Linked DNA regions of Saccharomyces cerevisiae S288C. Changing the gene in region 1 together with any one later gene gives a genetic interaction. Each region holds a gene or a part of one and is shown in the gene's direction. Other genes may lie near its edges.

Evidence for each region.
Region 2: mutations in AAP1 (region 1) and PTK1 together harm fitness more than expected from each alone (negative genetic interaction), as found in Saccharomyces cerevisiae (2 studies listed by BioGRID).
Region 3: mutations in AAP1 (region 1) and OCA1 together harm fitness more than expected from each alone (negative genetic interaction), as found in Saccharomyces cerevisiae (2 studies listed by BioGRID).

The regions. Positions count from the first base shown.
Region 1 is NC_001140.6:196,503-206,012, reverse strand, and holds AAP1 (arginine/alanine aminopeptidase), read left to right. Parts: upstream 1-4,702; coding exon 4,703-7,273; downstream 7,274-9,510. Other genes in the region: YHK8 (Yhk8p), read right to left, coding at 1-1,406; inositol monophosphate 1-phosphatase INM1, read left to right, coding at 7,728-8,615; DDE1 (Dde1p), read right to left, coding at 8,780-9,510. UniProt on the Saccharomyces cerevisiae protein: Positive effector of glycogen accumulation. May be involved in nutrient-sensing.
Region 2 is NC_001143.9:67,732-71,744, reverse strand, and holds PTK1 (putative serine/threonine protein kinase PTK1), read left to right. Parts: upstream 1-1,524; coding exon 1,525-3,513; downstream 3,514-4,013. Other genes in the region: PEX1 (AAA family ATPase peroxin 1), read left to right, coding at 1-1,011. UniProt on the Saccharomyces cerevisiae protein: Essential determinant for low-affinity spermidine transport.
Region 3 is NC_001146.8:438,067-440,918, reverse strand, and holds OCA1 (putative tyrosine protein phosphatase OCA1), read left to right. Parts: upstream 1-1,635; coding exon 1,636-2,352; downstream 2,353-2,852. Other genes in the region: PLS1 (Pls1p), read left to right, coding at 1-122; Ras family GTPase RAS2, read left to right, coding at 349-1,317; MIC27 (Mic27p), read right to left, coding at 2,602-2,852.

The DNA.
Region 1 (9,510 bases):
TGGAGTCCGAAAAGAGGGAAGACACCGGCCATTATGCATCTCACAAATGTGTTACAAGCCATTCCAGAAGCTGCATATCTTCTATAGGCATCCACTGTATACGCAAAAACACCGGTAAAGACGAAATAAACACCTGAACCGAAAATTGCACTGCCTATAATTGGTGCAATCCAATGGACATGCTTGTAGCAGGTGAATGCAAAAATGAAGAGCCCAACTGGGGTCAAAAAGGCGCCGTAGAACAGAGGCTCGAATCTCATTTCGGGAGTCTTGACGCCATTATTTCTTTTGACTCTCCACTCAAACGTTTTTTGGAATAACAAGCAAGTAGGAGCCGAGAGTATCATGCCGACCATAATACCGATATAGGAGCATGCAATCTCCATGGGCCCAAAGTTGTAAAGTTTCTTGAACACATAAGGAAACGCTACGAAATATAAATATATTATGGCAAGTTCCAATCCAGTATAGAAGCAAAGCACACCCATCATTCGGTCTCGAAGTAACAGGCCAAAGGGTCTTTTGGTTGAGAGAAAGATTGCGGAAAGTAAGGAAGTCTGTTCGCGGGTGACTTCCAGGACAGCATAATACCGTTGATCATTTTTCTCTTTCCTCAATCTCTTAGCTTTACGTATTAACAGCATTGGTTTGTAGGTTTCAGGTATGGTAAAGATGATCATAACGAGACAACATCCAGAAGTGATGAGAAGTGTGATAAATGTCCATTTATAACTTTGATGGTATAAGGCTCCACCAATGATTGGTCCTAAAGAGGGCCCCAAAAAGGCCGATGTAGTGTATATTGCCATAGGAATACCAATTTGGTCTTTGTCGAATATATCGGCAATGGCGCCGCCAGCCACACTTAGAAAGGCTGAACCAAAAAACCCGGATAGAAATCTGCCAAACATGACACCCGTAATGGTCTTGGACCAAATGGTCAAACACTGCCATATGATACTGAGCGTAAGGGCGTATAAAAATGTGATCCTTCGTCCATATAGTTCACTTAGTGGAGACAGAAATAAAGGTCCTATACCGAGCCCAAACACATAAAGCGTAATTCCCAGAGTGCTGACTTCGTGCGAAATATGAAAGTGTTCGATTATGTGCGTTGAAGGAAGCGTCCAGCTGGACGAGATCATCGTAATTACCATCGATGTGAATGTAATTAACGAGGAAATATAATACCGGCGGGCGGTGCTCATATGCCGTGCTATATCTTCTGGGTCCGCGATGTCCTCGTTGAAGGTCACTTCATGCGATTGTTTGCCGTCATTTTTTCGTTCACTGGTCAATTCCAGATCCAGTTTTGCGGCTTTGTCTGAGTTTATTGAACAATGCTCTTCTTCAGTAGATGTCAATGCCGATGACTGTGCACTCGCTATTTGAAATTCTGCAACCATATCCTGTTGTTATATCTGCATATATATGTTCTTAGTATACAAGGTGATACCATACACCAAATGTAAGGCAAATATGCCTTTATATAGGGTCCAGGTGAACGTAACGCATCTAATAACAAGTGTTATTGCTTGACCTAATAATCTGAGATGGTCGCTTCACCGGTAGAAAAATTCTCTGCGTATTACTAATCTCAACAATAGCCAACACTAAATCCGTAGGACCGGCGAAAAGCGTGCTAATCTCCGCTTTATTGCCGGATCCGAAAGGTGTTTCTGGCATCAAGATGTTATAAATCACGGAATTAAGAGAAGGATATTAAATGTGCCATTGCATTTTATTGATATTTCCACTCACCCAGAGGGATAATAATGATCAAAACAGATATACAATTCAGCTCCACTTTTACCTGCGCAACATGACATTTCCAGAACTAGCTTACAATTCGTACACCGGTTATAATTGGTTTATGGTTTCCAATGTAGGACCAATTTTTAGAGATAAATACTGAAGCAAATATTGGATTTCTTCTGTGTTTCACACGAAGAATATGAGTGAACCATTATTCCGGCTTTTGTTTCCTACAGCAAGATGTAAGTTATCTGGTTTGCTTATTACTTAGAAAAAGGGCTCCTGCTGGTGGAGGTAAATTAGATTATGCACCTATCGGCGGGTTAGCGTTGGGCCGTAGCCTTTTGGTCGCTTGCATTTACCACGTATTTTTTCCTTTCAATTTATTATAAGCTTAGAGATACGATTTCAAGGCGCAGCTCTTCTGTTAGCAGTTTTCTCTACGACTTTGTATGAGGTTCATCTCATTTTGTTAGCTTCTATTCACATACCTACTATAACACTAATCCTGCTATGGTTCAGACCCAAATATCTTCAACCCCTGCCATAGGAACTGTAAAAAATAGATTGTAATTCAAAGTACCTTCAGAAAAAAAAAGTTATATACGGCGCATACTACACAGTACGCAATGTGTCACTTGGTACCGCTGTTCTTATGTTCGTTTAAACAAGATCTCGAGGTTTGAGTCAATGTACGAGATTTTGAAACCATGAGGGATGTGCCCTCAAACTTTATGATCTGGTTTCTTTTTTTATTTATATCGTTTTTATGCTGGGTTACGTTGTTGTTTTATATTCCTTGTCTAGTATTACGGTCAGCAGAGGCCAAATCCTATATGCATTATATGTGGTTAGCATTGACTCCTTAATAGAACGGCCAGTTATCAATCAAATTGCCTATAAGCATGGATCACTAGCGGCTAGTATTGTATTGCATTTGGAATAGCCCTCTTCGTTGAGCCACAAAGATATCTTGCGGAAATGTGGCTAAAGCAACTTTTGATGATTGCTGGGAAACGGTTTGGTAAACTGCTGAAGCAATTGTTGTACACAATACTTCTGCTTTTGGCCCCATCTGGATTTTTCATTTCCGCTTTTGCCTCAGGTGCAACAATAACTATCTTTGAGCATCGTACCACCAATACAAAAGGATATGATCGTTATCATACAGAATTTTTCATGGATTTTGCATGTTTCGGTATAACTTTACGTAGGTGAATTATTGAAGGGCTTTGTGATAGGTGTGGATGTACCTGCCGTGCGTTGATGACCTTCAACTGATCGGAACAAATTGCTATTACATGTAAAAATCTCATGTATGAGCGAATCTTTTTGTGTTATAGGCAATCACCTAGAAAAGCTTGGAAATTGGTCCTGAGTTTTTTGTTGATGGTAAGTGCATTTTTTTAGTATGAAAGGTTTACGATATTAGCTGCTAAGTTCTCCCTTGCCCTAGTGAATTACGTTTTTTTCGATTAAAAGGGTTGGTCCCGAAATTGACCTCTTATATGTACCTCAATTGCAGATAGCATCAAATTTAGACTACGTCATCAACCAAATTACACCCTATGAAAAACATAAGATTATAAGCATGCGTTTGTGTAAAGGTCATACCATTTTATACGTTGACGCAATGGTGCAAATAGAAAGGTTTACGAAAGCTCTTATTCCGCTTAGCGCAATTCTATTGTTAATTTCAAGTAAAAAGATAAATATCTCACGTCCTTATATTATCTTTGATTAAAATTTCACGATCAATGTAACGAAAAAAGGTCGCAAATATTTCTTTTTCATCACTCTGATTAAACAATGGCATCATGAAACGCTCATTGGATCGTTACACGTTCTCATTGTACATATGTATGATTTAGAACAGCTTGTTCGCCTGATCTCCACCTTATACCCTCATCTTACCGCAGTGCGGTTTTACGCCTCATGTTATTTTTGCCAGCTTTAATAACAACATCAGTAATATTACGTTATTGGATCTTCCACTCCGGTTCGAGGAAAAAAAGAGAGGAGGAGAAACGCATAAGCTACAATAATGAGTGAGTTAACGCTTTAATTTGCTCAGTGATCATTGCTAGCCGGATATTTGTGTTTTTGTAGAACCCAGCCATACCTAATCATCTCAGTATATTATCTGAATTCTTGACTCAAAATATGGATTTTCTCGAACGTCTCACTTCCAATCATCCCATCAAATGCTGTGGATGAAAACATTTAAAACACGGGCAAGAAAAAATGAGTATAGTATAGTTGTGGCCAGTTCTTGTTGTACTAATGCACTTGCTTTCGTATCAAAGTTGAAGAAGCACTGAAAGAACAACAAAAAATTTATTAAAAGCAAAAATCATTCTACGTTCAACGAAAATGTAAGGCAAATATATCTTTATATAGGCAAGCATAACCGACGCTAACTTTGTTCGAGCTTCATCAACGTTATTAATATCGTAGTTATTCCGCTTTGTCTCAATAAGCTTTTGCTTACTTGAGAAAAAGAACGAAGTTTCTGTTTGAGATTTTCCTTCTCATTTTCTTTGAAATTTAAAGGAGAAATATTCAGCTCTATACATTCTTTGTTCGAGTATGTTACACATCACCTTACAATGGGAACATCCTATGATGACATACTTCTTCTCGATGATTTATTTTTTTTCTCAGCAAACGCTGTTTTCTAGGCGGTGAAAAACGGGAGTCTTCATCCCACATTTTTTGAACTCGTTGTGAAAGTTTTTTTTCGTACTCTTGGACTTGGCTGTGGGAGTTTGACACATTTTTTTATTTTTTTTCCGTTTTTTTCCCTTTTGTTAGCGATCAAACTTTTGACTTTATGAGTAATCTTAGCTAATCATTTAGAATTATCTTCAGGGAAGCTTATTCAATTCGTGATTTTTCTTTGAGGGTTCCTGTTCAAGCAAGCCAAATTGCCCTCTCAGCTAATACCATGTCCCGTGAAGTACTGCCAAACAACGTTACCCCATTGCATTATGACATTACACTAGAACCTAATTTCCGTGCTTTTACGTTTGAAGGGTCATTAAAAATTGACCTGCAGATTAATGATCATTCGATAAACTCTGTGCAAATAAATTACTTAGAAATAGATTTCCATTCTGCACGTATTGAGGGTGTCAATGCCATTGAAGTTAACAAAAACGAAAACCAACAAAAAGCTACTCTTGTCTTTCCTAATGGAACTTTTGAAAACCTAGGACCTTCTGCGAAGTTAGAAATTATCTTTTCCGGTATTCTAAATGATCAGATGGCGGGATTTTACAGGGCTAAGTATACGGATAAAGTCACAGGGGAGACGAAGTACATGGCTACTACTCAGATGGAAGCCACAGATGCTAGAAGAGCCTTTCCTTGTTTTGACGAACCAAATTTGAAGGCGACTTTTGCAGTAACTTTGGTCTCTGAATCGTTTCTGACTCATTTGTCCAACATGGATGTCAGGAATGAAACAATCAAAGAGGGTAAGAAATATACAACTTTTAACACGACTCCAAAGATGTCTACGTACTTAGTAGCATTTATTGTAGCTGACCTGAGATACGTGGAAAGCAATAATTTCCGTATTCCAGTAAGAGTTTATTCTACCCCAGGGGACGAAAAATTTGGTCAGTTTGCAGCCAATTTAGCTGCTAGGACCTTGAGATTCTTTGAGGACACCTTCAACATAGAATATCCATTGCCAAAGATGGATATGGTGGCAGTTCATGAGTTTTCTGCTGGTGCTATGGAAAACTGGGGGCTAGTGACTTATAGAGTTATTGATTTGTTATTAGACATAGAAAATTCGAGTTTAGATCGCATTCAAAGAGTTGCTGAGGTTATTCAGCATGAACTAGCCCACCAATGGTTCGGCAACTTGGTCACCATGGATTGGTGGGAAGGCTTATGGTTGAATGAAGGTTTTGCCACTTGGATGTCTTGGTACTCTTGCAACAAGTTTCAACCAGAATGGAAAGTTTGGGAGCAATATGTTACTGACAATTTACAACGTGCTCTAAATTTAGATTCATTAAGATCTTCCCATCCAATTGAAGTTCCCGTTAATAATGCGGACGAAATCAATCAAATTTTTGATGCTATTTCTTATTCTAAAGGATCTTCTTTATTGAGGATGATTTCCAAATGGTTGGGTGAAGAGACTTTTATTAAAGGTGTGTCCCAATACCTGAATAAATTCAAATACGGTAATGCAAAGACCGGAGATTTGTGGGACGCCTTAGCAGATGCCTCTGGCAAGGACGTTTGTTCGGTGATGAACATCTGGACAAAACGTGTTGGTTTTCCAGTGTTATCTGTCAAGGAACACAAGAACAAAATCACATTAACTCAACACCGTTATTTAAGTACCGGTGATGTTAAAGAAGAGGAAGATACAACCATATACCCCATTTTGTTAGCTTTGAAAGACAGTACAGGTATCGATAACACATTGGTATTGAACGAAAAATCTGCTACTTTCGAATTAAAGAATGAAGAGTTCTTCAAGATTAATGGTGACCAATCTGGTATTTTCATTACCTCTTATTCTGACGAAAGATGGGCTAAGCTATCCAAACAGGCAAATTTATTATCCGTAGAGGATCGTGTTGGCTTAGTCGCAGATGCAAAAGCCCTTTCTGCATCTGGCTATACCTCTACTACTAACTTCTTGAATTTAATTTCTAATTGGAAAAACGAGGATTCATTTGTTGTTTGGGAACAAATCATTAATAGTTTATCCGCTCTGAAATCTACTTGGGTCTTCGAACCAGAGGATATATTGAATGCTCTAGATAAATTTACTTTGGATCTAGTACTTAACAAACTTTCTGAATTGGGGTGGAATATTGGCGAAGACGACTCCTTTGCTATCCAACGTTTAAAAGTGACCCTTTTCAGTGCCGCATGCACTTCTGGCAATGAAAAAATGCAATCGATTGCGGTAGAAATGTTTGAGGAATACGCCAATGGGAACAAACAGGCCATACCTGCACTGTTCAAGGCAGTTGTTTTCAACACCGTTGCCAGACTTGGCGGAGAAAACAATTACGAAAAGATTTTCAACATCTATCAAAACCCTGTTTCGTCAGAAGAAAAGATTATCGCTTTGAGAGCTTTGGGCAGATTTGAAGACAAAGAACTTTTAGAAAGGACATTGTCTTATCTGCTAGATGGTACAGTTTTGAATCAAGATTTTTACATCCCAATGCAAGGCATTAGAGTTCATAAGAAGGGTATTGAAAGGTTATGGGCTTGGATGCAAGAACACTGGGACGAAATTGCTAAGAGATTACAGCCAGGCTCGCCTGTGTTGGGTGGCGTGTTGACATTGGGTTTAACTAATTTTACCTCTTTTGAAGCCCTTGAAAAAATTAGTGCGTTCTATAGTAGAAAGGTCACTAAAGGTTTTGATCAAACCCTGGCTCAAGCCTTAGACACTATTAGATCCAAGGCGCAATGGGTGAGCAGAGATCGTGAAATCGTTGCTACCTACTTGCGTGAGCATGAGTATGATCAATAGCTTTTTTTTTTCACGAGCACCTACAACACAAATATATACATATGCCAATGAGTCAAAACCACGTGTAATTAATAAAGAGATTACTACTTGCTTATGTAGAAATATAGTAGCTAGCAGAAAATGAATCTGATAACATCTTCATTGACACATTTCCAAGTATAGAGAACTTTCTTCTGCTTCCTTTCGGAAGAACTGAGTGAATATTGACTGGCGTGCGTCATAGCGAGATTTTTTCATCTGATGATGTATGGAAAAAAAAAAAAAACTTTTTTTTGAATAATGGATGCATCGAGTGACTTTCATTGTTGCGCACGTTGCTTTTCCAAAAATGGTATTAATATAGGTCTTTTATCTCTTACTTCACATTTAACTGCTTGTTAAATAACCCCAGTGTTTTCTTTTTTTTGGATGAATAAGGAAATCAACAGCTGGTACACGCATATACACATATACCATGACCATTGATCTAGCTTCTATCGAGAAATTCCTCTGTGAACTGGCTACTGAAAAAGTAGGACCAATCATCAAATCCAAGTCCGGCACTCAAAAGGATTATGACTTGAAGACTGGCTCCAGGAGCGTTGATATTGTAACTGCTATCGATAAACAGGTCGAAAAGTTAATTTGGGAATCGGTAAAAACCCAATATCCAACTTTCAAGTTTATTGGAGAGGAAAGTTATGTGAAAGGGGAGACCGTGATTACTGATGATCCTACCTTTATTATTGATCCAATTGATGGGACTACAAACTTTGTTCATGATTTCCCATTTAGCTGTACCTCTCTTGGGCTCACAGTAAACAAAGAGCCCGTAGTAGGCGTTATATATAATCCTCACATTAATCTTCTGGTATCCGCTTCTAAAGGAAATGGGATGAGAGTTAACAACAAGGACTATGACTATAAATCAAAATTGGAATCTATGGGTTCTCTAATACTAAATAAATCCGTAGTGGCATTACAGCCAGGTTCCGCTAGAGAGGGAAAGAATTTTCAGACAAAAATGGCCACATATGAAAAATTACTATCATGTGATTACGGTTTTGTTCATGGATTCAGAAATTTAGGATCATCTGCAATGACAATGGCATATATTGCTATGGGGTACCTTGATAGTTATTGGGATGGTGGTTGCTATTCGTGGGACGTGTGTGCTGGATGGTGTATTTTGAAAGAAGTGGGCGGTCGTGTAGTAGGTGCCAATCCAGGTGAATGGAGTATTGATGTCGACAATAGGACATATTTGGCTGTGAGGGGAACAATTAATAACGAAAGTGACGAACAAACAAAATATATCACAGACTTTTGGAACTGTGTTGATGGCCATTTGAAATATGACTGATCGTCAGCACATTAGGCCTAATATAAAATGTACGATTAAAATGACAGTTATTTGAATCATTTTAGCTGATCACAGGGATATAGAAGGTATTGGTAGTAATAATAATAATGATAATAATAATAATGATAATAATAAATAATAAATAATAAAGCGATAGATAATGCTCATTGATTATAGATGTATAAGCAACCGTCTTGGCCAAATAGTCCAAAAACGCCAACTAGAGGCATCCATCCTTCACCTCCTCCAAACCTTTCAGCTAAATGCAAAGCTTTCTCTAAACGATCGGACTCTACTGGTTTACCTATGCTAAAACCACGAATACATAACATACCCTGCTTCTTCTCTATGTTCAAATGAGGGTTTGTTTCCGTTTCTACCATTTTTCCTTCTAATGTTGTACTTAGTGTTCCATAACATACAACGTTATCGTCCACAGATTTTCCAAAAACCCTATAGTCATAAAAATTGGTATGTGCCACAGGTCCCATGATAGCGTAGGGACAATATAACTCGAGGACTACACGGGATCCTAATTGAGCTCTTATTTTATTCAATTGTTCAGTGCTTGGGGTGATTCTTCGGTTAGTCTTTTTTAGCTGAGGAATTTTTTCAGGAAATGTCGAAATAACCTCAGCATCTTTCACATTATCTGCCAAATAAACACATCTTAATTTTTCAAGAGAATGTGGCTCGATTCTGGCAATTTTCGTAAAAATACCCTCGCTCAGTAAGTTCGTGGCCCAGGATAAGTAGATTTTATTCAGCAGCCCACTTCTAGAATTAGAATCAATTAATTTGACAACATCCTTTGTTTCGGTAAACAGTAACGTAGTTTCTTGCAACGACTCGCAATCTATCGTTGTAGGATTGATGAAAGATGCAGACCCACCAT
Region 2 (4,013 bases), on another chromosome or scaffold:
GTCCTTCTAGAAACCTTAGAGTGGCCCACAAAATATGAGCCTATTTTCGTTAATTGTCCCCTAAGATTGAGATCAGGAATCTTGCTTTACGGTTATCCTGGTTGTGGTAAAACGCTTCTGGCGAGCGCCGTGGCACAACAATGTGGGTTAAACTTTATCTCCGTTAAGGGACCAGAGATTTTAAACAAGTTTATAGGTGCCAGCGAACAAAACATAAGAGAATTGTTTGAAAGGGCACAGTCCGTCAAACCCTGTATTCTATTTTTTGACGAGTTCGATTCTATTGCGCCAAAGAGAGGGCATGACTCCACTGGTGTCACAGACCGTGTAGTCAATCAATTATTGACCCAAATGGATGGTGCCGAGGGCCTTGATGGTGTATATATACTAGCAGCTACAAGTAGACCTGATTTGATTGATAGCGCATTGTTAAGACCGGGAAGATTAGACAAAAGTGTGATCTGTAATATACCGACTGAATCAGAGAGGTTAGATATCTTGCAAGCTATCGTCAATTCAAAAGACAAGGATACGGGACAAAAAAAATTTGCATTGGAGAAAAATGCAGACTTGAAGTTGATCGCTGAAAAGACAGCTGGTTTTTCGGGTGCTGATTTACAGGGGCTCTGCTACAATGCTTATTTGAAATCTGTACATAGGTGGCTGTCTGCTGCAGACCAATCGGAAGTGGTACCCGGCAATGATAATATAGAATACTTCAGTATCAATGAGCACGGGCGTAGAGAAGAAAATAGACTACGGCTAAAGACTCTATTGCAGCAAGATGTGGTGCACGAGACAAAGACAAGCACTTCAGCTGCTTCTGAGCTGACAGCTGTGGTCACAATAAACGATTTATTGGAAGCCTGTCAAGAGACAAAACCTAGTATTTCAACAAGTGAGTTGGTCAAATTAAGGGGGATTTACGATAGGTTCCAGAAGGATAGGAACGGTGAGATGCCCAATGGTGAGAATTCCATCGACATTGGTAGCCGACTCTCCCTTATGTGAAAAGGAAGAAGAAAAGAACAAAGCGCGTTTCCCTTTAAAGGGCAAAAAATGCGGCGCACGTTGCTTATTACGTGACATGACCCTATTGTATTGTGCGAGCACGCAGGACGGGAAAAATATTGGTGAAATTACATAACGCATTTTTTTTCCCTTGTGGTGAAAAGGAAAAACCCGAGAAATATGCCAGTAACAGTGGAGACCGGTCAAGATGTATTGAACGAAATCCGAAGTTGCATATATAACATAAATGCCTGCTACCTTTTGATACTTAATTCTTCTTAGCACCTATACGCTTTTTTTTTCATTTTTCCTTATCTTTTCTTTTTCTCGCAGAAGTCTATACAAAGAAGAAATATATATATATCTATTTCTTTTTTTTTTCAACCGTATACCACCGGCAACAAACCTCCATGTATTCATAGGCCCTGCATTACATCAAGAAATATTAGCATAAACGTATAGACCATTTTAACGCCACAGGCAAGCATACGCATTAAATCGCACCACCAACCAATGACAGTCTCACACAATCATTCTACGAAGATATCCCAACAACCAATCTCCTCGGTATCAGCATTTAAGTTCTTCGGAAAGAAGCTGTTAAGTTCAAGCCATGGGAACAAGTTGAAGAAAAAGGCGTCTCTACCTCCAGACTTCCACTCTACAAGTACTAATGACAGCGAATCCTCCAGCCCAAAACTGCCGAATTCGTTGAAAACCTCTCGCCGTGCAAACTCTTTCGCTCACACAACCAACAGCAAGAGATCTTTATCTTCCGCCTCAACCAAGATCCTACCTCCGGCCGGCTCCAGCACGTCCATCTCAAGAGGAAACAGACATTCGTCCACTTCGCGTAATCTCTCAAACTCCAAGTTCAGTAGCGAACGATTAGTGTACAATCCATACGGCGTCTCAACCCCAAGCACGTCACTCTCGTCCGTCTCTACCTCCATGAAGAAAGACCCTGATCTGGGCTTCTACCTTCACGATGGGGATTCCAAAATCCGCATGCTGCCGATCCCAATTGTGGACCCAAACGAGTATCTGCCCGACGAGATGAAGGAGGCAAGCATCCAGTTGAGCGATAACTTCGTCTTTGATGATGAGAATAAGACCATCGGATGGGGCGGTTCGTGCGAAGTGCGCAAGATCCGCTCCAAGTACCGCAAGAAGGACGTATTTGCTCTAAAGAAGCTCAATATGATCTATAATGAAACGCCCGAGAAATTCTACAAGCGCTGCTCAAAGGAGTTTATCATCGCAAAGCAGCTAAGTCATCATGTTCACATCACAAATACTTTCCTTCTAGTCAAGGTGCCCACCACCGTCTACACCACTCGCGGGTGGGGGTTCGTCATGGAGCTAGGTCTACGAGATTTGTTCGCGATGATACAAAAATCGGGCTGGCGCAGCGTGGCCCTAGCAGAAAAGTTTTGTATATTCAAACAGGTGGCGTGTGGTGTCAAGTTTTGCCACGATCAGGGCATCGCCCACCGTGATTTGAAACCGGAAAATGTACTGCTATCCCCGGACGGCGTGTGCAAGCTGACAGATTTTGGTATCTCAGACTGGTACCACACGGATCCACACGACCTGTCCAGCCCTGTCAAGAAGTGCGCAGGGATGATCGGCTCGCCGCCGTATGCTCCCCCGGAGGTCATGTTCTACGACTCCAAGAAGCACTACGATACGGAATTGCAACAGCCGTATGACCCACGCGCTCTAGACTGTTATGGCCTGGGTATTATCCTCATGACCCTCGTCAACAACGTCATTCCATTTTTGGAATCCTGCAGCTTCGACACTGGTTTCCGCGATTACTGTGACGCTTATGAAAACTTTATCCGTCTTCACGATCGCGCATTCCGCAATCGCGGCAATTACCGCCCGGGGCCGGGAATGGAGTATCACTTGGCTAGAAATTTCAAGAACGGACATGCATCTCGCGTGGCATGGCGGCTCGCTGACCCAGAAGCCGCCACCCGCTACACCATCGACGACCTCTTCGAAGACCCATGGTTCCAAGGAATTGAGACTTGTGTTGATGCCAACGACAAATATGTGTGTAAGAAACCTATTATCAAAACCACTACGTACGAGAATCCGCGGGGTTTCCATATCGCTACAGATGTTGCTGCAACCACACCCACCTCAAACCCATTCCTTAAGAACCGAGTCCCCATCAGGTCAATGGTAGATATAGCCGCCCATCCTTCCCCAACGGCCACGGTTTTAGCGTCGTCGCCTCCGCCGCCTCCTCCGGCGACTCATGTGCCAGCCGAGGCCTTATTTACACTTAGGGAAACCCCGCCGCCCCAGCTAGCAACCCTCACGCTTAGCGAAGAACCTCCCGCAACTCCCGCACCTTCCGCACCTTCCGCACCTTCCGCTCGCGTCCGTGGCCACTCCCCGCACAGGGTAGTGCATCACCATCTGAACATTGTCAACAGCTTGGTCCATAGTTCTAGCGCGGCGTCTTCTCAAGTTCCGGCTTCGACCTAGCCAGAATGTGCAGCAGAGTAAATAATATTCACTTCCCTGTTCCTAAAGCGTACAATATACAACTCCAACTTCATATCAACTACCAGAAACAGTAACATACGTAATAGTTATTTTCTATATTTTTATTTTTTTTTTGCCACTGACCAGTCTTCGCGGCGGTGTGAGTTTCCGTCTGTACGCAGCATTTAGCAGAGATTTGCCAATGCCAAGAAACTCCGCTAAACTAACATCGCGATGCAATGGGCTTGGTATTCCGTGGAAGAAAATGAAAACCGGCGCAAAGAATCCTCCGAGAAAATTTGATGCGGTGCACGGATTTCAGCACGGGTTTCAGCACGGATTTTATTTCTTTGCACCCCGCAAATTTCTGGGCGATGATAAACATACCGCATCTAAAACCGTATACAGACTACGGCACAGAAGCCAAGACTAACAAAAAAAAAAAAAAAAAAAAAAAAGAAAAAAGAAAAATGTCACGTGTTATTCCTTGTGCCCTCTGA
Region 3 (2,852 bases), on another chromosome or scaffold:
TGACAGCAAAGACGAAACAAAGCTGGAATAAGGGGATCTGGGAAAACGGGAAACAAGGTTCACATCAGCAAACATTTCTACCGAAAATCTGGGTAAACATTTATAGTACCCCAACATCTTAAGTTTTAGCCGTTGTCTTCTCTTATCGCCTAGAATCGCTCATTTCAAGCGTAACGCAATCCGGCTTTTGTTTTTTTTCCATTTTATTCATCCACTCTTTATCTGACTCTTCTGCACTATATTAATCAACTAGGAGAAAATTACTTGAGCAGAAAGATACGAGAGAATTACGGATAAAAAAACCAAGTTAACCGTTTTCGAATTGAAAGGAGATATACAGAAAAAAAAATGCCTTTGAACAAGTCGAACATAAGAGAGTACAAGCTAGTCGTCGTTGGTGGTGGTGGTGTTGGTAAATCTGCTTTGACCATACAATTGACCCAATCGCACTTTGTAGATGAATACGATCCCACAATTGAGGATTCATACAGGAAGCAAGTGGTGATTGATGATGAAGTGTCTATATTGGACATTTTGGATACTGCAGGGCAGGAAGAATACTCTGCTATGAGGGAACAATACATGCGCAACGGCGAAGGATTCCTATTGGTTTACTCTATAACGTCCAAGTCGTCTCTTGATGAGCTTATGACTTACTATCAACAGATATTGAGAGTCAAAGATACCGACTATGTTCCAATTGTGGTTGTTGGTAACAAATCTGATTTAGAAAACGAAAAACAGGTCTCTTACCAGGACGGGTTGAACATGGCAAAGCAAATGAACGCTCCTTTCTTGGAGACATCTGCTAAGCAAGCAATCAACGTGGAAGAGGCGTTTTACACTCTAGCACGTTTAGTTAGAGACGAAGGCGGCAAGTACAACAAGACTTTGACGGAAAATGACAACTCCAAGCAAACTTCTCAAGATACAAAAGGGAGCGGTGCCAACTCTGTGCCTAGAAATAGCGGTGGCCACAGGAAGATGAGCAATGCTGCCAACGGTAAAAATGTGAACAGTAGCACAACTGTCGTGAATGCCAGGAATGCAAGCATAGAGAGTAAGACAGGGTTGGCAGGCAACCAGGCGACAAATGGTAAGACACAAACTGATCGCACCAATATAGACAATTCCACGGGCCAAGCTGGTCAGGCCAACGCTCAAAGCGCTAATACGGTTAATAATCGTGTAAATAATAATAGTAAGGCCGGTCAAGTTTCAAATGCTAAACAGGCTAGGAAGCAGCAAGCTGCACCCGGCGGTAACACCAGTGAAGCCTCCAAGAGCGGATCGGGTGGCTGTTGTATTATAAGTTAATAAAAAGGAAATAGTTGTAGAAACGCTAAGACGAAAAGAACTCTATAAAGTTGAAACGAGTACACACATTTATAAATATATACAAAAGTAAATAAAAAAGTGACTGTTTTTATATTGCTTATTGCCATTTGCTATTTCCGTTTCATTCTTGTTAACATTGGAAACTTTGGGCAATATCATATGGTTGCCGGGTAAAGGAAAAAACAAACAACATCGCTATAACATAAAATTGGACATTGCAGAGAGTCATCAATCACATCCATTTTCACAAGAAAGAGGTGTTCCACCTGGAATAACAAGCTTCTCTTTCCCCTTAGAATGACATCTAAAGTTGGTGAATATGAGGACGTTCCAGAGGATGAGTCCCGCCTCACAGAAGAGAACGTATCCGTACCTGAAGAAGAAGTAGAAGACGAAGACGAGGAAGAAGACGACGATGATGATCATATATATATCAATGAAGAAACAGAATCTGGTCGCGAAAAGGTCTTGGTATCACATGCCCCACAAGAACGTATCGTTCCACCTTTGAATTTCTGTCCCGTTGAAAGATACCTCTATAGATCTGGTCAGCCTTCACCTGTGAATTTCCCCTTTTTACTAAACCTAAAACTGAAAACAATTATATGGCTGTCTAACGAAGAACCTCAAGATACCCTCCTAGAGTTTTGTGATACTCATAGAATAAACTTACAATTCGCAGCCATCAACCCGGATGCCGGTGAGGACGATAATCCATGGGACGGTCTCACTGAACATTCTATAATTAATGTACTACAAACGATCGTCACTCAAGAGAATTATCCCTTGCTAGTGTGCTGTGGTATGGGAAGACATAGGACTGGGACAGTCATTGGATGTCTCAGAAGAATAATGGGTTGGAACTTAGCCAGTGTATCCGAAGAATATAGACGCTTTACTGGTAGCAGAGGTGGTAGAATTCTTGTAGAGTTGCTTATAGAAGCTTTCGACACTAATTTAGTAAAAATAGACAAAAATAAAGCACCAAGTTGGTTACTGACAGCTTTGGAGTAGAGGCAAGAAAAAAAAAATGCAAAAGATAAAGAAAAAGCACTGAGCTTTATGACCATTTACCTAAAGTTTGAAATGTTTCAGGATGCACGGCCCATTCGCGAACCAACTTCTAAAGATCACACGAAATGAAATTCAAAATAAATGAAATTTATTTAATGGGTAATTTTATAGAATATTAATTATCCGATTTATATATGGACATACTTACTATGGACATGATAATGAACAAAAAAAGATATCCGCTTGATATCATGCTTGCTCCAACTTTTCATAAAGCTGTTCCCTTGCATACCTTATATTTTTTTGTAATGTCTGATCGATTTGACGTTTTAAATCACATTTCTTGGCAACATATCCTTCCTCATAAATTCGTTTCCAAGTATTGTGATATGACTTGACGAAATCAGCTGGCAGTAAATCATTTTCAGTGGCATTGACCAAATTCTGTGATGTCTGTGGAGCCCAATACTTGAATGTAGCTGCTGCCAATACCCATGGTA